Anolis sagrei: one gene and its partners. The protein of the gene in region 1 binds, or shares a complex with, the protein of each later gene. Links are inferred from orthologs where the notes say so. Each region holds a gene or a part of one and is shown on either strand. Other genes may lie near its edges.

The links. The genes of interacting proteins can lie anywhere in the genome.
Region 2: SMARCD2 (region 1) and SMARCC2 share a complex: the UniProt entries of both Homo sapiens proteins name them as parts of the BAF complex. The link is inferred for Anolis sagrei from reciprocal best matches to the Homo sapiens genes SMARCD2 and SMARCC2.
Region 3: SMARCD2 (region 1) and DPF3 share a complex: the UniProt entries of both Homo sapiens proteins name them as parts of the BAF complex. The link is inferred for Anolis sagrei from reciprocal best matches to the Homo sapiens genes SMARCD2 and DPF3.

The regions. Positions count from the first base shown.
Region 1 is NC_090026.1:37,945,195-37,953,089, reverse strand, and holds the start of SMARCD2 (SWI/SNF-related matrix-associated actin-dependent regulator of chromatin subfamily D member 2), read left to right. Parts: upstream 1-4,886; 5' UTR 4,887-4,932; coding exon 4,933-5,115; intron 5,116-7,895. UniProt on the Homo sapiens protein: Involved in transcriptional activation and repression of select genes by chromatin remodeling (alteration of DNA-nucleosome topology).
Region 2 is NC_090022.1:138,276,655-138,283,784, reverse strand, and holds the start of SMARCC2 (SWI/SNF complex subunit SMARCC2), read left to right. Parts: upstream 1-4,130; 5' UTR 4,131-4,218; coding exon 4,219-4,329; intron 4,330-7,130. UniProt on the Homo sapiens protein: Involved in transcriptional activation and repression of select genes by chromatin remodeling (alteration of DNA-nucleosome topology).
Region 3 is NC_090021.1:285,843,738-285,851,627, reverse strand, and holds the start of DPF3 (zinc finger protein DPF3), read left to right. Parts: upstream 1-4,890; 5' UTR 4,891-4,946; coding exon 4,947-4,978; intron 4,979-7,890. UniProt on the Homo sapiens protein: Belongs to the neuron-specific chromatin remodeling complex (nBAF complex).

The sequences.
Region 1 (7,895 bases):
TCGGGGTTGGCTTGACGTGCCTTCCTCTTGGCACGTTTCTCTCTTTCGCCCTCCATTAGTGCCTCTTCAAATTCGGCAGCACTGCTGATCACAGCTGAACTCCAACTGGAGCACTCAAGGGCCAGGGCTTCCCAGTTCTCAGTGTCTATGCCAGATGAGCCCATCTTTCAATCTCTTTTCCTGCCCACCAACATTCCATGTTCTGTTCTTGAGTTCAGAGTAGAGCAATTGCTTTGGTAGATGGTGGTTGAGCATCCGGACAACATGGCCGGTCCAGCGGAGTTGATGGCAGAGGACCATCGCTTCAGTGCTGGTGGTCTTTGCTTCTTCTAGCACACTGACATTTGTCCGCTTGTCTTCCCAAGAGATTTGCAGGATTTTCCGGAGGCAACGCTGATGGAATCATTCCAGGAGTTGCATGTGACGTCTGTAGACAGTCCGCATCTCACAGGCATATAGCAGGATTGGGAGGACAATAGCTTTATAAACAAGCACCTTGGTATCCCTACGGATGTCCCGGTCCTCAAACACTCTCTGCTTCATTTGGAAAAAAGCTGCACTCGCAGAGCTCAGGCGGTGCTGTATTTCAGTGTCAATGTTGACTTTTGTGGAGATGTGGCTGCCATGGTAGAGGAAATCAGGCCCGTAGCCAGGATTTCGATTGGGGGGGGGGGGTCTGAGTTTGTTTCGGGGGGGGGGGGGGCTGAGTCTGAGTGAAAGAGGGTCTAGCCTAGCAAACCTTTTGTATCGTTACCCCAGTACCCCCATGCATATGGGATATATTGAGCATGGTGATCAGATCATGATATGAATAAACATAACAGTTTAAACAATGCACCAGTAAGGCCTTTTCACGAACCACCATGAGAATTTCGGGGGGGGGGGGGGGGGGTTAAGCCCCTCGAGCCCCCCCCCCTCCCCCCGGCTACATGCCTGGCAGAAATGGTCAACATTTTCTAATGTTACACCATTAAGCTGTATTTCTGGCATTGGAGAGCAATTGGCTGGTGACTGCTGGAAGAGCACTTTGGTTTTCTCGATGTTCATTGACAGGCGAAGCTTCTCATATGCTTCCGCAAAGGTGTTAAGAGTGGCTTGTAGACCTTCTTCTGAATGCGCACAGATGATGTTGTCATCAACATATTGGAGTTCTATAACAAATGTTGTAACCTTGGTTCTGGCTTTCATTCTACTGAGGTTAAATAGCTTGCCATCTGTCCGAAATCATCGATAAATTTATTTATTTATTTATCTATCATGTCAGGAGCAGACCAAACAGCTGCATTGCATTTTTTAACAAACAAAAAAACAAACAGACAAACAAAACACAAAGTTTGCAAGCTTAGTAGTTGATTAAATGTCCTTTGACCAGTAGCTGGCCACTTGGAGTGCCTCTGGTGTTGCTGCAAGAAGGTTCTCCATTGTGCATGTGGCAGGGCTCAGGTTGCATTGCAGCAGGTGGTCTGTGGTTTGCTCTTCTCCACACTCGCATGTCGTGGATTCCACTTTGTAACCCCATTTCTTAAGGTTGGCTCTGCATCTCGTGGTGCCAGAGCACAGTTTGTTCAGTGCTTTCCAAGTTGCCCAGTTTTCTGTGTGCCCAGGGAGGAGTCTCTCATTTGGTATCAGTCATTGATTGAGGTTCTAAGTTTGATCCTGCCACTTTTGGACTCTCACTTGCTGAGGTGTTCCAGCGAGTGTCTCTGTAGATCTAAGAAAACTATTTCTTGATACCCAAACAGGTGATGAGCTGGAGATGTCACTGCCTTGGTCATTTCACTATTGGTTGCTACTTCCCGGCGGATGTCAGGTGGTGCAATAACGGCTAAGCAGTGTAATTTCTCCAGTGGTGTAGGGCGCAGACACCCTGTGATAATGCGGCATGTCTCATTAAGAGCCACATCTACTGTTTTAGTGTGGTGAGATGTGTTCCACACTGGGCATGCATACTCAGCAGCAGAGTAGCATAGCGCAAGGGCAGATGTCTTCACTGTGTCTGGTTGTGATCCCCAGGTTGTGCCAGTCAGTTTTCATATGATATTGTTCTTAGCACCCACTTTTGCTTGATATTCAGGCAGTGCTTCTTATAGGTCAGAGCATGGTCCAGAGTGACGCCCAGATATTTGGGTGTGCTGCAATGCTCCAGTGGGATTCCTTCCCAGGTAATCCTCAGAGCTCGGGATGCTTGTCTGTTCTTAAGGTGAAAAGCACATGTCTGTGTTTTAGATGGGTTAGGAATCAGCTGGTTTTCCCTGTAATAGGCAGTAAGATTACCTAGAGCTTCGGAGAGCTTCTGTTCAACCATCTCAAAGCTCCCTGCTTGAGCAGTAATGGCACGATCATCAGCATAGATGAAACTCTCTGTCCCTTCTGGCAGTGGCTCGTCTTTTGTGTAAATGTTGAACATGGATGGAGCAAGCACACTCCCCTGAGGCAGGCCATTCTTCTCTTTCCGCCATCTGCTTCTCTGGCCCTGGAACTCAACAAAGAAGCTCCTGTTTTGTATCAGGTTTCCTATGAGGCGGGTGAGATGGTAGTCCTTTGTGATATTATACATCTTTCTCAGGAGGAGGCGGTGGTTTACAATACCATAAGCCACTGACAGGTCTATGAAGACAGCTCCTGTGATCTGCTGCCTTTCAAAGCCATCTTCTATGCGCTGAGTCAGGTTCAGCACTTGCGATGTGCAGCTTTTGCCTTTCTTGAAGCCAGCTTGCTGTGGGATCAGACATTGGTCTATTTTTTCCGTAATTCTATGCAAAATAAGTCTCTCCAGAACTTTGTAGAGGTGGCACAACAGGGAGATTAATCTATAGCTATTTGGATCATTACGGCCTTTGCCTGGCTTCAAGATGGCAATGACTCTTGCTTTCCTCCAGATTTTGGGGATCTGACAGGATGCAGTGCAATTGTTCATCTGTTCCAGCAGCCAGCGCCTTGCTTTTGGACCAAAGTTCTTGATTTGTTCCATCCATAGATCATCCAGGCCAGCTGCTTTGCCATTTTTACATTTATTGGGAGCCATGTCCAATTCAGTAGATGTGCTGTCGCATGCTGGGCCTGTGCATAAGACTGTAGACAGGACACAAATTCTGTGTGCCCAACGGGACGCTGGGGCTGCCTCAGATTAAAGACCCTTGAATTTCCCCAGACAGAGTCTTTAGATTGCTTAAAGGTTCAACAAAGTTCTTTATTATTGAAAACAAACAGGTACTTCAAGGCTTTCTTAATAGTCTATTGACTCTTGTCCACTGGGAACAGTCACTATCTTCTTAACTGTAACTAACTAATGGGGAAATCCTTAACTTCTAATCTGGGCAGTCTGTCTTTGCCTCTGTTGGCGTGGAGCCCCTGCACCCGGTACCAACTGCGTCTGGCTTCCACGAGCGACCCTTACCAAGCAGAGCTTTGTAGACTTCCAGGGAAAAAGGAGTTCAGGTTTCAGTGATGGCTGACTGAAGTCCTTCAGCAAAGGAGCTGTAAGGCTATCTGATCCTTGGCCAAGCTGTGGGCTGTATAACCCTGGCCAAGCTGTAGGCTGTATATCTCTCCGGCCAAGCCGTAGAAGACAAAGCTTTCTACTAGGCCTGGGTAACAACGGAAAAATTTGTTTCTAAAATCGATTAGTTTTTTGGGGGTTTTTGCGTTTTGGTTTTAAAAAGAATTCCGAAATTTTTCTTTTAAAAAGTTCGATATTTACGAAATTTCGTAAATGTTAAAAAAATTACGAAACAATAACGAATCGATTTCGAAACAATAACGAATCAATTCGTTAATGGCGGACGCGACCGCGAAATACGCTAAAAAACCTCCAAATGGGACAGGGGGAACTTCTGAAGCTTCCCTCTCCCTCTGTTGTTGACTGTTGGTGTGATATTATAATTTTTTTTAACTAATTAAACAAAAAACAACTATAAAACTTGCCCCAGACATGCGGAAATAATAACGAAACGACTTCAAAACGATAACGAAACGAATACATAACGAATCTGAAACAATTACGAAACAAATTTAAAAATTCGTTTCGTTTTAAAGTTGCTCCAGAATGGTTCGTTATTGCTTCGTTATAAAAAAAATAACGATTTTTTAACGAATTACGAATTAACGAAACGAAACCACCCAGCCCTACTTTCTACAGGAGCTCTTGGTTTTATGTCATGTGCGAAAGGCTTCGCTGTGTGGACTGACCCAAAAAGGCTCCTATTCCCTCCAAAAACCCAAAAGGGGGACAGGACCAGGGAACCTAACTATAATTGACAGGTGGCTTGCCCTATGATTGCAGCCAAAAGAAGCCACGTATCTGCAGAGTCCCTGAAACTTAGGACTGCAACAAACATTCAATGCAAAACAAACAAAATTGGAGCTCCTGGTGCAGTTGTACCAGCACAGTAGATGTAAAAGGTTCTTGAAGGTTGTTGTTCTCAATATCTGGTTGCCTGGCTATTGGTTTCTTTCCTACTTTGGTGGCAAGGTTGGGTTTCGATAGATTATTATATATATATATACTGGGCATTGTTTTTTGTATTTGTAACGCTAGATATATGTGTGTGTGAATGTATGTATATATGTATGAGAGACAACTATGGATTGGACATAAACATTCCAGTCAGAGGGAGAGTGTGTGTGTGTGTTTGCCCTCGTGACTGGGCCGCGTGCCTCTCTGAGGCGCTTCTTTGGCGCTGGGCCTCGTCAGGCGCTCATTGGCCTCGCTTCCCTCCCTTTCCCTCTCTCAGTCCCCCCGCCTCCTTTCCCGCTCTCTTGGCGGTTGACGGAGAGGGCGGTCCTGGGGGGAGGGGCCTGCCGCTGCCGGGGCCTCCGATTGGCTGAGGGAGCCGTTCGCCTCGTCAGTCAATCGAAGCCGCTTCCTCTTCTCTCCCCTCAGACGGCGGTTGCCTCCGATTGAGGAAGGACTCGTCTCTTGCTTCTCCTCCGATGGCCGGGCGCGGCGGGAACTTCCCCATGGCCTCGCCGCCCGAGAGGCTGCCTTCCATGGCGCTCTCGGCCTCAGCAGGCGTCCCTCTTCCCCCGGGGCCCGGAGGCGGTGTGCTTTTGCGAGGAGGGCCCAGCCCCGGGGCCACCCCATTCCGGCCCATGGCGCACGGAGTCCCCTTCCAAGTAGGTGGCTTCTGGAGGAGGGAGTGTCGGGGAGCAGCACACACGAGGAAGGCATGGCTTTTAGACACGTGTCTGGGCCAGGAAAGGTTTGGCTTTCAAAGCAAGCTGCTGTTGTGTGCCTTTGAATGTTTTTTCCCCATCTCTTGTTTGGTTTTGTTTTGTTGATTTGCCCAGAAGTTGTTTGCTTTGCCTTCTCTGAGGCTGAGAGAGTGTGTGACCCGCCTGGTGGGCTTCCATGGCAGAGGCGCTGTCTACACTGCTGTCAAATCCAGTTTCTGAATCCACTTCACACTATGTAACACGATTATTGTTCCTGGGTTATTTCCATCATTTCCTAATTGGTTCTATAGAATCAAAGAGTTGGAAGAGACCTCATGGGCCATCCAGTCCAACCCCATTCTGCCAAGAAGCAGGAATTTTGCATTCAAATCACCCTTGACAGATGGCCATCCAGCCTCTGTTTAAAAGCTTCCAAAGAAGGAGCCTCCACCACACTCCAGGGCAGAGAGTTCCACTGCTGAACGGCTCTCACAGTCAGGAAGTTCTTCCTCATGTTCAGATGGAATCTCCTTTCTTGTAGTTTGAAGCCATTGTTCCTTGTCCTAGTCTCCAGGGAAGCAGAAAACAGGAGAGCAACTAAAATGATAAAAGGTCTGGAGAACAAGCGGCTTAAAGAGCTGGGCATGTTTAGCCTGAAGAAGAGAAGGCTGAGAGGGGATATGATAGCCATGTATAAATATGTGAGAGGAAGCCACAGGGAGGAGGGAGCAAGTTTGTTTTCTGCTTCCTTGGAGACTAGGACACGGAACAATGGCTTCAAACTACAAGAGAGGAGATTCCATCTGAACACGAGGAAGAACTTCCTGACTGTGAGAGCCGTTCAGCAGTGGAACTCTCTGCCCCGGAGTGTGGTGGAGGCTCCTTCTTTGGAAGCTCTTTAACAGAGGCTGGATGGCCATCTGTCAGGGGAGATTTGAATGCAATATTCCTGCTTCTTGGCAGGGGGTTGGACTGGATGGCCCATGAGGTCTCTTCCAACTCTTTGATTCTATGATTCTATGATTCTATGAAACAAGCTTGCTCCCTCCTCCCTGTGGCTTCCTCTCACATATTTATACATGGCTATCATATCTCCCCTCAGCCTTCTCTTCTTCAGGTTAAACATGCCCAGCTCCTTAAGCCGCTCCTCATAGGGCTTGTTCTCCAGATCCTTGATCATTTTAGTCGCCCTCCTCTGGACACATTCCAGCTTGTGAATGTCTCTCTTGAATTGTGGTGCCCAGAATTGGACACAGTATTCCAGGTGTGGTCTAACCAAAGCAGAATAGAGGGGTAGCATTACTTCCCTAGATCTATCATTAAAAACATGAAAAAAGTTTATGAAATTGCAAAAAAAAATATGTTTTTTTTGCAGGACATCCTGCAGGACATTTTGCTACAGGTCTTCAATTAACATTTGATTTATCGTGTCAGAAGTGAATTAAGAAAACAATTATAATTTTTTTGTCCTGTCAGGAGCAACTTGAGAAACTGCAAGTCGCTTCTGGTGTGAGAGAATTGGTCATCTGCAAAGATGTTGCCCAGGGGATGCCTGGATTTTTATTTATTTATTTATTTTTGTTGTGTCAGGAGCGACTTGAGAAACTGCAAGTTGCTTCTGGTGTGAGAGAATTGGCCGTCTGCTAGGACATTGCCCAGGGGACGCCCGGATGATTTGATGTTTTTATCATCCTTGTGGGAGGCTTCTCTCATGTCCCCGCATGAGGAGCTGGAGCTGATAGAGGGAGCTCATCCGCCTCTCCCCGGATTCGAACCTGCGACCTGTCGGTCTTCAGTCCTGCTGGCACAGCACTGAATACAGTCCTGTGTATTATAATGAATCTATATAAATAAAAATGTAATGTTCGTTTGTGAGATTAACATAACTCAAAAACCACTGGACGAATTGACACCAAATTCGGACACAATACCCTTATCAGGCCAACGAGTGACCATCACTCATAAAAACACTGAAAAACAAAGCAGAAGAATCTTAAAAGCCAAAAAATAAAAAAATTCATTACAACGCATGTGCAGAACGACATATATATACGCAAACAAATATATACACATATACACACACAAAGAACATATATATAGACTGGGCCATAGCAACGCGTGGCAAGGGATGGTAGTTTAAAATAAACACAAACAAAGTTAAAAACTTGGCATAATGCAAAAATTTCTGTGCCTCTGGTGTCACTGAAAGAAGGTCCTCTATTGTGCATGTGACAGGGCTCAGCCTGCATTGTAGTTAAGTGATATGTGGTTTGCTCTTCTCCACACTCTCATGTCGTTGACTCCACTTTGTGGCCCAATTTCTTAAGATTGGCTCTGCATCTCGTGGTGTCAGAGCGCAGTCTGTTCAGTGTCTTCCTAGTCGCCTAGTCTTCTGTGTACCCAGAAGGGAGTTTCTGATCCTGTGTCAGCCACTGTTTGATGTTTCAAGTTTTAGCCTGCCACTTTTGGACTCGTGTTTGCCAAGATGTTCTTGCGACTATCTCTGTAGATCTTAGAAAAGTATTTTCTGATTTAAGACGTTGGAATGCTGGCTGATATCCAAACAGAGGGTGGGCTGGAGATGTCAATGCCTTGGTCCTTTCTTTACTGGCTGCTACTTCTCGATACATATCAGATGGTGCAGTACCGACCAAACAGAATAATTTTTTCAATGGCGTAGGATATAGGCATCCTGTGATAATGCGGCATGTCTCATTAAGAGCCACATCCACTGTTTTAAC
Region 2 (7,130 bases), on another chromosome or scaffold:
ACACTTTAAATCAGGAAGTAGTTTTGTAAGATCATATTTGCAGGAACATCTCAGCAAGCAAGAGTCCAAAAGTGTCAGCCAAAAACCCGGAACCTCAAGCCATGGCTGATACCAAATGAGAGACTCCCCCCTGGGCACACAGAAAACTGGGCGACTTGGACTACCTGCGTGACCACATTTCTGTGTATGAACCCACACGATCTCTTCATTCATCTGGAGAGGCCTTCCTTGCGCTCCCACATCTATCGCAGGCGCGACGTGGGGACAAGGGAGAGGGCTTTCTCAGTGGTGGCCCCTCGACTCTGGAATTCACTTCCCAAGGACATCAGGCATGCCCCAACTCTGGCAGTCTTTAGGAGGAGCCTGAAAACGTGGTTGTTCCAGTGTGCCTTCCCAGAATAATGAATTCTCAGCATTGTGCCCTCCAAATGCACTTTACATTGATTTAGGATTGTTGTACGCTCCCACTAACGCCCCATCTCTCCTACCTTATTCATGCCTAGCATTATTTTTAACTTTAATTACATTTGGCCCAGCCATACATTGTAATTGTGTGTTGTATTATTGTCATTGTATATTGCTTTTTTGTTATGAGTTTTATTTAATCTGTTTTACTGTTGTTGTTATTGCTTATATTGATGTATTGTGGGCTCGGCCTCATGTAAGCCGCATCAAGTCCCTTGGGGAGATGGTAGCGGGGTATAAATAAAGTTTAATAATAATAATAATAATAATAATAATAATAATAAAAGGCGCTGAACAGACTGCGCTCTGGCACCACGAGATGCAGAGCCAATCTTAAGAAATGGGGCCACAATGTGGACTCCACAACATGAGGGTGTGGAGAAGAACAAACCACAGACCACCTACCACAATGCAGCTTGAGCCCTGTCATATGCACAATGGAGGACCTTCTTATAGCAACACCACAGGCACTCCCAAGTGGCCAGCTACTGGTCAAAGAACATTTAGTATAATGCTAAGTTTTTAACTTTGTGGCTTTAAATACATTACGACTGTACCCTCAGTTCGCTTCTGATACAATATAAATAATATAAATAAAGATTATTATTAATATTATTTGATACATAACAAGATTAGTACACAGAAAACAAGATCACTGTGCTATCTTTTGTATTTTATCACATGTTGGACACTTCCCAAGTGTCTAGGACTATGTGATGTATTGGCGACTAATATGTGCAGATCCAAGAAGGGGTGGCCTTTTGTAGTTGACAGATGGTAATTTTGTCAGTGCCGTTTGTTTTTAAGTGCAGGCCAAGGTCTTTGTTGTTGTTGTTGTTGTTGTTATTTTATTACCACACAGCAAACAAGATCACTATGCTGGCTTTTGTATTGGATCACACTTTGGACACTTTCCAAGCGTCTAGGACTATGTGATGTATCGGTTAGTAATCCGTGCTTATCCAAGTAGGGTGGCTTTTTGCAGCTGACAGATGATAATTTTGTCAGCGCCTATTGTTTTTAAGTGCAGGCCAAGATCTTTAGGCACTGCACCCCAGTGTGCCAATCACCACTGGGACCACCTTTACTGGCTTGTGCCAGAGTCTTTGCAGTTTGATCTTTATATCCTCACATTATTATTATTATTATTCTTTTACTGACACAAAAACACAGTATGACACAGCAAACGAAATATATATGCTGGATTTCGTATCACAAAATCACAAGTCAAACACTTCCCAAGCGCCTAGGACTGTGTGATGTATTTTTGAATGATGCGCGCAGATTCAAGTAAGGTGGCTGATTGCATTTTATGGTTTGTCCATTTGGCATCTCTATGCCCTCATTGTGAGTAATTTTCCCTTTCTTTAATGCCATTGTGGCACATTTGTCTAGGCCAAACTCCATACTGATGTCAGTGTTGAAGATTCTGACTGTGTTGGTCAATGACTTGATTTCAGTTTTTGATTTTCCGTAAAGCTTTAGATCAGTGGTTCTCAACCTGTGGGTCCCCAGGTGTTTTGGCCTACAACTCTCAGAAATCCCAGGCAATTTACCAGCTGTTAGGATTTCTGAAGGCCAAAACATCTGGGGACCCACAGGTTGAAAACCACTGATTTAGATCATCCATGTACAGCAAGTGAGAGATTTTTGGTGAATTTCTTGCTGTTTGGTAGCCTATGTTTGTTTTCTGTAGAATTACTGACAGTGGGATAATTGCAATGATGAACAGCAGTGGTGACAGTGAGTAACCTTGGAAAATTCCTCTCTTGATGTTAATAGTTCCATAGCTTTCGCTGCCCACAAACAACTCCATTTTCCATTGTTTCATTGCATTTTCAGTGAACTTTCTAATATTTTCACAAACCCCGATGACATCTAGAAATTTGATAATCCAACAATGTGTCAGTGAGTCAAATGCTTTTTTGTAATCAATCCAAGTTGTATAGTAATTATTATTATTATTATTATTATTACTTTACTTAGGCGATCCCTCATATCTGAGGATGATGGTCCTCCAAGTTCGGTGTCCTGGTGGTGGGTTCGTAGGTGACTGGAGCCCTATTCTTGATCTGCATCTTCTTCCACAGTGACGGCATTGGTTTCCAGGTTGAAGGTGGTCTCGGATGGGCCTTCCTCTTGGCACATTTTCTCACCCTCCATTCGTGCCTCTTCAAATTCTGCAGCACTGCAGGTCACAGCTGACCTCCAGCTGAAGCGCTCAAGGGCCAGGGCTTCCCAGTTCTCAGTGTCTATGCCAGAGTTTTTGAGGTTGGCTTTGAGCCCATCTTTTATTTATTTATTTATTTATTTACAGTTCTTATATTCCGCCCTTCTCACCCCGCAGGGGACTCAGGGCGGATTACAGTCAACACATATATGGCAAACATTCAATGCCAGTTTGACAAACAACATTTAACACACAAATACACCAAGGCTATTTAACTTTTTTCTGGCCGCCAGGGGAGCTGCTGCTTTTCATCGTCCATCAACAACACCGATGAAGTTCTTCCGCATTCCACATTCCCCGGAGTCTTCTTTCTTTATGGCCTCATAAATTAGTTAAATTTAGCCTCCCACACAAGGTGGTCCCTTATTTTCCTACTTGACAGATGCAACTGTCTTTCGGGTTGCAAAGGTCGACAATGGGCTACACAATGGCTGGACACCCACTCCAGCCCGGGCTGGCTTCGAACTCATGACCTTTTGGTCAGAGTGATCTTAATGCAGCTGACACTCAGCCAGCTGCGCCACAATCCCGGTGCTTTAAATCTCTTTTCCTGTCCACCAACGTTCCGTTTCCCGTTCTTGAGTTCGGAGTAGAGCAACAGCTTTGGGAGATGGTGGTCGGGCATTCGGACAACATGGCTGGTCCAGTGGAGTTGATGGCGGAGGACCATTGCTTCAATGCTGTTGGTCTTTGCTTCTTCCAGCACGCTGACATTTGTCCGCCTGTCTTCTCAAGAGATTTGCAGGATTTTCCGGAGGCAGTGCTGATCGTTCCAGGAGTTGCATGTGACGTCTGTAGACAGTCCACGTTTCACAGGCATATAGCAGAGTTGGGAGGACAATAGCTTTATAGACAAGCACCTTGGTATCCCTACGGATGTCCCGGTCCTCAAACACTCTCTGCTTAATTCGGAAAAATGCTGCACTCGCAGAGCTCAGGCAGTGTTGTATTTCGGTGTCAGTGTTGATTTTGGTAGAGAGGTGGCTGCCAAGGTAGCGGAAATGATCTAATGTTACACCATTAAGCTGTATCGCTGGCATTGGAGAGGGGTTGGCTGGTGTCTGCTGGAACAGGACTTTGGTTTTCTTGATGTTCAATGACAGGTCGAGCTTCTTGTATGCTTCTGCGGAGGTGTTCAGAGTGGCTTGTAGATCTTCTGAATGCGCACAGACAACGTTGTCATCAGCATACTGGGGGGGGGGGTCACCAAATACAACTCCCTATATTCCACAGCATTGAGCTATGATAATGCTGACGCCTTTCCACCGCTAGAAGGCGCTCAGGCTAGTTCAGGCGAGCCTGCGCCTCGGGGCCAGCAGGGGTCGCTGTGCTCGAGGGCCGCGCCTGGGCGAAGGAAGGAGGGAGGGAGGGAGAGAAGGCCTGGGCGCGCGCTGGCGCGGTGGGCGCGCGGTGGGGCCTGTGCCGGCAGAGGGCGCTGCGGGGCTGCTGCTCCTTCGGCCGAAGAGGCGTCCAGAGACGAAGGCGGCGCGGCCCAGGCCGGCGGCGGCGCTGCTGCTGCGAAAATGGCGGTGCGGAAGAAGGACGGCGGCCCCAACGTCAAGTACTACGAGGCCTCCGACACTGTCAGCCAGTTCGACAGCGCGCGGGTCTGGCTGGGCAAGAACTACAAGAAGGTAGGCCCGGGCCTGGGCCTGCCGGACTGCCATCGGAGAGGCCTTTCGGGGCTTCTCCGCCCCGGATCACGGCCGGCCTGCTAGCAGAATGGGAAGAGAGAGGGACTGGAGATCTTAAGGAAAGGGGGAAGAGGAAGGGAGGGAGGTGATGGGCATCGGAGGGGCACCGGGCCCCCTCCCCACCCTGCCTTCCATGGGGACGGAGGGAGAGAGGGAGGGAAGGAGGGGATCCTTAAAACTGCACGTCTTACATCAAAGTCTCTCCCTTGGCCCCACGAGCAGCACCTCCATTTATTATTCCTACTCCCTTTCCATCAGGAATCAGCCCTCTTTGGATCACCAGCACCTCCTAGAAAACAGATCCCCCCTTTTTTCTTGAGAAATGGCCATAATCTCAATTGCAGGGTGGCAGGCACGTTTCTTTGACATCTTCGCGCCTGGTGCCCTATTGTCCTTTGCCCCAAGATCAAGCCCTTCTTATTCTCCCATTCATTAGTTCCCACCCTTCTCTACAGATCCCTTCAGGACCTGACACGGAAACTTTCATTCATTGAGGCGTTTACTTGACCTTGCATTTTTTGTTTTTGATTTTAGTGCAGGGTGGGTCAAAAGTCACAAAGAGGTCCTGCATCCTGTACGTGATGCAGGGGTATTGGATTGCCATTTATGAGATTGGATTTTTCACACGTCATGTACATTTATTTATGAGATTCCATTTATGAGATTGAATTTTTCTTGTGTAATGTATATATAAATTAAATATATGCACACAGCGGGTTAAACTGCTGAACTTGCTGACCGAAAGGTCGGTGGTTTGAATCCAGAGAGTGGAGTAAGCTCCTGCTGTTAGCCCCAGCTTCTGCCAACCTAGCATTTCAAAAGCATGCAAATGTGAGTAGATCTGTAGATACCCCTTCAGTGGGAAGGTAATGGCGCTTCATGCAGTCATGCTGGCCACATGGCATTGAAGGTGTCTATGGACAACACTGACTCTTCAGCTTACAAATAGAGATAAGCACCACCCCATAGAGTTGGACACGACTAGACTTAATGCCAAGGGGAAATGTTTACCTTTACCTATCATCATATATGTTATTGTATATTAAAAACAAAACATAAAGGAGCAATAAAGTATTGAAACCCTTTCATGACTTTTGGCCCACCCAGTACCTTCAAATTGCTTTTCGTTCTCCTGGAGCAGCCTCAGTCCCTTTCCTTCCTGCTGGAGATGTGCTCTTTGGCAAGCAGAAAACTTAGCAGTTTTGCAATTTTGAAATGGGATGTGCTGGTTTATTCCCTTATGAGAGATGTTTCAATAACCTCTTTTGGGCATCCAACCTTGCTTTCATTTATTTGTTCTAATGTCAACAGAAATCAGAAATGCATTGTGTATTACAGTTTACAAATGGGGTTGTATTGGAAATGTGTCTGCTGTTTTCTGCCAACAAGTGTCATTGGATGTTGAATCAATGTATTTCTCAATCTCCCTTGTGTCGGCAAGTCTGCTGACCAAAAGGTCAGCAGTTCAAGTCTGGGGAGCAGGATGAGCTCCATCTGTCAGCCCCAGCTTCCCATGCAGGGACATGAGAGAAGCCTCCTACAGGATGGTAAAACATCCGGGCATCTCCGGGCAACATCCTTGCAGATGGCCAATTCTCTCACACCAGAAGCGACTTGCAGTTTCTCAAGTCACTCCTGACACGAAAAAAAAATCTCTGTAATTTGTTAAGAGGAGCCAAAGGCCCAGAAGCTGATGTGAAAGCTGTTTTTAATTCCCCCTATAGACATGCACTTCTCCATAGAGGAGATGGGGACTTGGGTGGCTAGGTTCTGTGTTATGGGGCCCACACAGCCTTTTCAGTTGCTGTCACACGAAGAAGCATGGTCCAGCAAGTTTCCTCTCTTAAATGCTTTGCACTTTGACAGCTGCTTCCGTTCCACATGCTGCTGCCCAGGACTTGATTCCCAGGCTCTTACCTTTGACCTTTCAAGTGAGAGAGAGAGAGAGAGAGAGAGCGCATGCCTCAGTCCCCAGACAATTCATTGTGTTTGGAATGACAGCTTCTGACCCCATGCTCACCACTTCCCTGCTAGCAAGTTTGAATCTCTTGTCAACTGCCCTAGTTATTTGCACCAAAACTCAAGGCTGAATCTGCACTACTACATAATACAGTTTGAAATGCATTGCGTGGTTAGTGTAGACCCATACAGTGCAGTTTGAACTGCATTGATCTGCATTATATGGGTCTGTATTGACCATATCATGCAGTTAAAACTGTATTATGTAGTAGTGTAGATCTAGCTCAAGATGGAGTCCCTTTGTAGACCCTGTGCTATTACAGCGAGCAACTTTTCCTGTTTTGATGGTGTTTCCAGACAAATTAAAAAGGAAGTTTAAATGAGGGCTATTTAGGGTAGTGGGTTTCTTTCCATGGTTGCTCCTCCCCATGCTTGAGTTAAGGAGCCCTGTTCTGGCAAGACTGCTGACTGAAAGGTCAGCGGTTTGAATCTGAGGAGCGGGGCGAGCTCCCATCTGTCAGCACCAGCTTCCCATGGGAGTCATGAGAGAAGCCTCCCACAGGATGGTAAAACATATGCACTTATCATAGGCAACATCCTTGCAGACGGCCAGTTCTCTCACACCCGAAGCGACTTGCAGTTTCTCAAGTAGCTCCTGATACTAATAAAAAACTCTTCCATTATTGTTATGGACACAAGTGGGACCCATTTACTAGTTATGCATGAAAAAAATAAACCTCTCTAAGAAAGATGATGGTCTATGTTGATTATAATGCTATACA
Region 3 (7,890 bases), on another chromosome or scaffold:
ACAAACAAACAAAATCAGTTATATCTCTTTCTGAAGGACAGACAAGATGGAGAGGGCTGATCTAATCTCACCAGGAAAGGAGTTCATAGAATCATAGAGCTGGAAGAGACCTCATGGGTCATCCAGTCCAACCCCCTGCCAAGAAGCAGGAAAACTGCATTCAAAGCACCCCCGACAGATGGCCATCCAGCCTCTGTTTAAAAGCTTCCAAAGAAGGAGTTTCCACCACACTCCGGGGCAGAGAGTTCCACTGCTGAATGGCTCTCACAGTCAGAAAGTTCTTCCTAATGTTCCATAGCTGGGGGGCAATCACTGAGAAGGTCCTCTCTCTCGTCTCCACCAAACACATCTGTGACGGTAGTGGGACAGAGAGCAGGGCCTCCCCAGAAGATCTTAGTCTTCGTGGTGGTTCGTAAAGGGAGATGCATTGGACAGGTAAACTGGGCCAGGGCTATTTAGGGCTTTATAGCCTAAAGCCAGCACTTTGAATTGTGCCCGGTAGCAAACAGGTGGAGCTGACATAACATTAGAGTTGTGTGCTCCCTGTATGCAGCCCTGGTTATCAACTTGGTTGCCTCTCGTTGGACTATTTGAAGCTTCCAAACAGTCTTCAAAGGCAACTCCACATAGTGTTGCAGTACTCTATCCTAGATGTAATGACAACGTGGACCACAGTGGCCAAGTCTGACTTCCCAAGACATGGGTGCAACTGGTGCGTAAGTTTTAATTGTACAAAAGCTGCCCTAGCCACCGCCACAACCTGAGGTTCCAGGCTCAGCAATGAGTTCAGGAGGATTCCCAAGCTGCGAACCTGCACCTTCAAAGGGGGTGTAACCAGGAGGACCTCTGTCTTGTCTGGATTCAACTTCAATTTGTTTGCCCTCATCCAGACTCTCACAGTGGCCAGACTTAAGCAGCTGAAGGGGGAAAGGAAAGGGCCTGAGGCTGATAGGAATTGAGGGAGTTGAAGTCCAAAACACCCAGAGAGAGGGCCCAAGTTTCCCCATGCCTGAGCTAACCTATGTTTGGGGATGAGGCCAGGATCTTGAGTAGCTCCTACTAAAAACCAGTGCAGATTTCTCATTTAGCTTGCCCCCTACTCCTTTCAAACACTTAGATGTGGCCTGTCTTAACCTTCTCCTCTCCAGGTTAAACATATCTGGCTCTCTGAGCCACTTTCTCACAGCGCTTGGCTTTGGTTGCCCTTCTCTGGACAGGTTCCAGCTTGTCAATATCCTTCTTGAACAGTGGTGCCCAGAACTGGACTGATGGGTTGACTTGGTATGCATGGAAGTTGTCCTTTGCCACTGTGGCAGGTGCCTACTCTTGACGCAGCCTTCCTGAATTCCACTTTATGCTTAAGTCAAATTGGTTGAGCAGTGTAACCTGTCCAAGTTGACTCAGACCTAAGTCCTATTGTGTCCCTTGGGGCTTATCCTGCCCTACCTTCACTGCAGTTAATGGTATGTGTCCTGATCATGTGCATCTACACGCTTAAGCGGCTGAGGGGGGAAAGGAAGGGGCCTGAGGCTGTTAGGAATGGTGGGAGTTGAAGTCCAAAACACTTGGAGGGAGGGCCAAAGCCTGCCCCTGCCTGGTGTCGAGGGAGAGTGACTCCAGCCTTCTTGTAAGCACATTAAAGCAATCCTTTTGTTTCTCCCTCTGGGTAATTCCTTTGCAGACTCCTGTAATTAGCGACAGGTAAACTCAGACGTCTTGGAGTGGGCTGCCTTTGCCAGGAGCTTTGCCAGAGCGGTGTCTGCGCTCCTTTGGCGGTGCAATTCCCCCTCTTAATGAGAAAGTTGGCAAAGCTCCTCCTCCTCCCTCCCTCCCCCCTCCCTGATGCCAGAGGTCAGGTCTCGACACGCCAAAGCAGACGATCCTGGGGGAGGAGGAAAAGACATCGTCTTTCATTTTTCCAAAAGTTCCTTGGGAGTGAAGCAAGCAGGCGGTCGGTTGGGCCACTTCGCGTTATGTAACGACGCGGAGAGGCATTCCTGGCCGGAGGGGGAGAGGAAGGGGAAGGGAAGGGAAGGGAAGGGAAGGAAAGGGTGCCCGTCCTGCGCCGGAGTCAATACGACCGTTGCAACGCTGCCAAGAAACCTGAAGCGGAAAGTGGTCGGAAGGGAAAAGCTGCGGGAAACGGAGGAGGAGGGAAAGGCGGAACTTTCTTGACTTTCTTTGCAGTGCCAGAAATGCACCCACATGGCTGGGAGGCGGTCTCTGCAAGAGCATGGTTTAGGCTGGATCTGCACTGCCATAGTTTGAACTGCAGTAAATACTGGAACCCTTGTGCCAGCAGGACTGAAGACCCACAGGTCGGAGGTTCGAATCCAGGGAGAGTGCGGATGAGCTCCCTCTGTCAGCTCTAGCTCTCCATGCGAGGACATGAGAGAAGCCTCCCACAAGGATGATAAACCATCAAAATATCTGGGCGCCCCCTGGGCAACGTCCTTGCCCACGGCCAATTCTCTCACACCAGAAGCGACTTGCAGTTTCTCAAGTCGCTCCTGACACACTCTCACTCACTCCGAGTAGGATAGTCTTCCAGGATCAGTGTACTGGCGGTGGGTCCTTAGGTGACTGTGGAGCCCTGTTCTTGACCTGCGTCTTCTCCTCAAGTGAGGGCATTGATTTCCAGGTGGAAAAAGGTCTTAGTCAGGATTGGCTTGATTGGCACGTTTCTCTCTTTCGCCTTCCATTCGTGCCTCTTCAAATTCTACAGCACTGCTGGTCACAGCTGACCTCCAACTGGAGCACTCAAGGGCCAGGACTTCCCAGTTCTCAGTGTATATGCCAAAGGCTTTGAGCCCATCTTTAAATCTCTTTTCCTGCCCACCAACATTCCATTTTACGTTCTTGAGTTCAGAGTAGAGCAACTGCTTTGGGAGACGGTGGTCGGGCATCCGGACAATGTGGCCGGTCCAGCGGAGTTGATGGCGGAGGACCATAGCTTCAGTGCTGGTGGTCTTTGCTTCTCCCAGCATGCTGGCATTTGTCTTCGCAAGAGATTTGCAGGATTTTCCGGAGGCAGCGCTGATGGAATCGTTCCAGGAGTTGCGTGTGACATCTGTAGACAGTCCACGTTTCACAGGCATATAGCAGGTTTGGAAGGACAATAGCTTTACAAACAGGCACCTTGTTTACAAACAGGCACCTTGTTATCCCTGCAGATGTCCCGACACACACACAACGGCAGTAAATGGTTGCATACTGACTATATAACACAGTTCAAACTGCATTATATGACAGAGGAGCAGGAGGAAGTGGTCCCAAACTCCTCCAGAGTTCTGAAGGCCCCCTTCCTCCACTGACATGTATTGTGGCCCATCTACAGAGATATTCTTGGAAGACCTCAGCAAGCGAGAGTCCAAAAGTGGCAGGCTAAAACCCAGCACCTCAATCCATGGCTGATACCAAATGAGAGATTCCTTCCTGGGCACACAGAAGACTGGGCAACTTGGAAGGCATTGAACACACTGTTGGGGATTGTGGGAGTTGAAGTCCAAAACTGCATTCATCCTTTGTGCACACGTGCATGTGTGTGTGAGGAACGACTTGAGAAACTGCAAGGCACTTCTAGTGTGAGAGAATTGGCCGTCTGCAAGGACGTTGCCCAGGTGTGTTACCATTCTGTGGGAGGCTTCCCTAGTTCCAGCATGGGAGGCTCTTGCACCAGGAGATGCAAAGCCAATCTTAAGAAATGGGCCCACAAAGTGGAGTCTAAGACATGGTAGTGTGGAGAAGAGCAAACCACAGACCACCTATTACAATGCAACCTGAGCCCTGCCACATGCACAATGGAGGACCTTCTTGCAGCAACACCAGAGGCACTCCAAGTGGCCAGCTACTGGTTAAAGGACATTTAATAGAAGGCCAAGTTTTTAAACTTTGTGTTTTCTCAAATACATCAGAACTATACCCTTGGTTCGCTCTCTGATACGATAGATCAATAAATAAATGGGAAGCTGGAGCTGACAGATGGGAGCTCACCTTGGTCTCCCGGAATCAAAGCTGCTGATCTTTTGGGCAGCAGTCCAGACGGCACATGAGTTTAATAGAATGCCAAGTTTTAAAACTTTGTTTTCTCAAATACATCACAACTGTACCCTTGGTTCGCTCCTGATACAATAAATAAATAAATAAATAAATGGTAAGCTGGAGCTGACAGACGGGAGCTCATCTTGCTCCCTGGATTCAAAACTGCTGATCTTTTGGTCAGCAGCCGTGCAGGCACATGAGTTTAATAGAACGCCAAGTTTTTTAAACTTTGTGTTTTCTCAAATACATTACAACTGTACCCTTGGTTCACTGCTGATACGATAAATAAATAAATGGGAAGCTGGAGCTGACAGATGGGAGCTCACCTTGGTCTCCCAGAATTAAAACTGCCGATCTTTTGGTCAGCAGTCTATATGGCATGTGAGTTTAATAGAATGCCAAGTTTTTAAACTTTGTGTTTTCTCAAATACATCCCAACTGTACCTTTGGTCCGCTGACACAATAAATAAATAAATGGGAAGCTGGAGCTGACAGACGGGAGCTCAGCCTGCTCCCCGGATTCAAAACTGCCGATCTTTTGGTCAGCAGTCCAGACGGCACATGACTTTATTAGAATGCCAAGTTTTTAAACTTTGTGTTTTCCCAAATATCCTTGGTTCGCTCCTGATACGATAAATAAGTAAGTCCAGAGCGTGGCTCTGTGTCTCTCTCCCCTTTTCCCCGTGCCGCTGGCCCTTTAAGACCTGCTCTCCGAACACTTGCACAGAAAGGGAGTGACCTCTGGGCTTTGACAGCTCCCCTAATAACCAGCCCGAGCCCTGGCCCCGCCCACCGCGCTCCGATTGGTCGCCGGGCCGGTATCCTCTCTCCCCATTGGGCGCCCGGTTCCCCTGAGCGAACCTTTTAGAACTCCGAGGCACAATATTCTGTTACATTGTAGCAAAATGGCGACTGTCATTCACAACCCCCTGAAAGCGTAAGTAGGAATCAAAAATGTACATATTTCCGCGTGGTTTCGATATGAAAAAAGGGCGCCTTTCCCTATGCAGGCGGCCAAGGCAGGAGCGGGCTGCCGGCAAGGCTCCCTCGCTCCCGGGGTTGGTGTGGCTTGCCTTATTTGTGTGTCACACGCACAAAAGTCTCCCTCCGCGGGGGAATTTCATGGGAAGGAACCAATTGTCACCGGGGCGTCCTGCCTGATTGATTGATGGGCGGCTGGCCGGGGACGGAGAGAGTTTTGGGGGCTCTTTAAAGGCGAAGCCACGGCTTCCGTGGCAGCTCCGGGTGGTCGGAGTCGGGGAAGGAAGGAAGGAAAAGGGAAGGGAAAGGAAGGGAAAGAAGGATCGATGCCGGGCAGGATTGGGCTGGATCTAGATCTCCCTTTCTATCCAGGGCGGCTTGTGCAGCAGTTGGGGAGTTCTTTCTTTTGTATGCCTGTCTTCGTGCATTTGTGTGCCTTCTGTGCGCGACATTTCCAAGCCCGGGGAGGAAGGAAAGAGAGTCGGGGGCTTGCCTCCCTTTCCCAGCCTTTCCTGCGCCTGTTTGCCCGGAGGGACTGCGCCGCGGACCTTTTCCTTGGCAGGTCAAGCCTTGGGAGCTCTGCGTAGATATATAGATCTAGATACACGGATGTATTGATACGAAACCCTGAGGCAAAGAGACGGCCGGACTTCCTGCGCTTGGATGGGAAGTAGCCTCCCGAGAATATATAGAAATATTCGGGAGAGAAAGAGAGAGAGACCTGGGGAGGTGAAAATATATTTCTCTCCAACTCTCTGTATATATATCAAGCATGGTCGAACTTGGGATCTCCAGGTGTTTTGGACTCGAACTCCCATCATCCCTCCCAGCCACAGGTCCCTTCCTTTTCTCCCTCAGCCGCTTAAGCGAACTTGGACCCTCCAGGTGTTTTGGACTCCAACTCCCACAATCCCCAACAGACACAGGCCCCTTCCTTTTCTCCCTCAGGAAAAGGAAGGGACCTGAGGTTGTTGGGGATTGTGGGAGTTGGAGTCCAAAACAGGAAGGGGTCTGAGGCTGTTGGGGATTGTGGGAGTTGCAGTCCAAAACATCTCAGACCCTCTTCTTTTCTCAGGAAGGGGCCTGAGGTTGTTGGGGATTGTGGAGTTGGAGTCCAAAACAGGAAGGAGTTTGAGTTTGTTGGGATTGTGGGAGTTGGAATCCTAAACAGGAAGGGGTTTGAGTTTGTTGGGGATTGTGGGAGTTGGAGTCCAGTGCTGCTTCTCCTCTATTATCGCTGGCCTCTGACAGGAAGGGGTTTGAGGCTGTTGGAGATTGTGGGAGTTGGAGTCCAAAACACCTGGAGGGCCCAAGTTCGCCCATGCCTGTTCTGTATGCATGTATCAGCTCTCTCTATTTTTTCGTGTCAGGAGTGACTTGAGAAATTGAATTGGGCGTCTGCAAGGATATTGCCCAGGGGATGTTTTACCATCCTTGTGGGAGGCTTCTCTCATGTCCCCGGCATGGGGAGCTGGAGCTGACAGAGGGAGCTCATCCTCTCTCTCTCCCCGAATTCGAACCTTCGACCTGTCGGTTTAAGCCATGCCTACCTATCGAGAGATAGTTGGAGCGTGAAAGAGGGAATCCTCGGAGAGCTGGAAGACTCTCCTCGCTTCCCATTCCGGAAGCCCGTTGGCGCTCCTCTTTGGCTCCGGGTCCACGGTTCCTTCCCCTCCATCTGCCTCTTCTCCTCCCTTCCCTCCCTCGCTCCAATCTTTCCCAAAGTAGAAAGGCTTGGGGGAGGTGTGCGTGTGCGTGTGTAGATCTCGGCGTGAGGGACTCGAGGCTCCGGCGTTGTGCTGTGTGTGTGTGTGTGTTTGTTGTGTATGTGTCTCTTTCTCTCCCCGGGGGCGGGCAGGAGGCGTCCCGACAGGTGCAGCCGGCTCCGGGAAGCAGTCGGAAGGAAGGCGCTGTGAAGATTGAGGGAGGGAGGCTTTCCTGGCCGGGTTGGGGAGGAGGGGGGTAGTTCTTTCGGGCTGGAAGACACTCACACGTTTGCTCGCACAGACACGCAACCAGCCGGCTAATCCCCGAAGGCATTAAGAAGGGAAGGGAAGGGGGGGGGGAGGGGTTTGGCCGCAGGTCTGGAGGCGCCCACTCGGCTTCCGCCCTCCCCCCTCCCGCCCCTTGACCTTTAGAGCCTCACGTTTGGCGCCGGAGGAAAGGAAAAGGCTGGCTTTCCGAGGGGGAGGGGGCACTTCCCCGCTCCTTTTAAAAGCCAAGGGACTGTCTGCAGCCACTTCCTTCCCCTTTGAGCTGCGCTTCCCGCCCTTGGCCAGCAACTCGGGGCTGACTTTGGGGCCCTCCAGACGGCAGAGGGTCTTGGCAAGCGGCTCCTGGTGTGAGAGAATTGGTCGTCTGCAAGGACGTTCCCCAGGGAACGCCTGGATGTTTGACTATCCAGTGGGAGGCTTCTCTTATGTGTTCAGATGAGAAGCTGGAGCTGACAGAGGGAGCTCACCCTGCTCCCGGATTCGAACCGCAGCAGTCCTGTCAGCAAGAGCCAGCGTTTTTCATAGACGCCCCCTAGGTCACGTGTCCAACATGATTGAATGGAGTGTCATTACCTTCCCGCCGAAGCGGTACCTATTGAGCTACTGTCATTTGCATGCTTTAGAACTGCTAGATTGGCAGAAGCTGGGGCTAACAGTAGGAGCTCACTCTCTGGATTCAAACAGCAAGTTCAGCAGCTCAGTGGTTTAACCTGCTGCGCCACCAGGGGCCTATACATAAATAAAAATAAATAATTGGGGGAAGGGGAGGTTCCGGGGGGTCCACCCCAAGGCTCTTTTCAGTGGGAGGGGAGCCCACGCGAGGTGGAGAAAGCCAACTTCCAGGCGGATGGCGAGGGGAACGCCTAAGCACCCC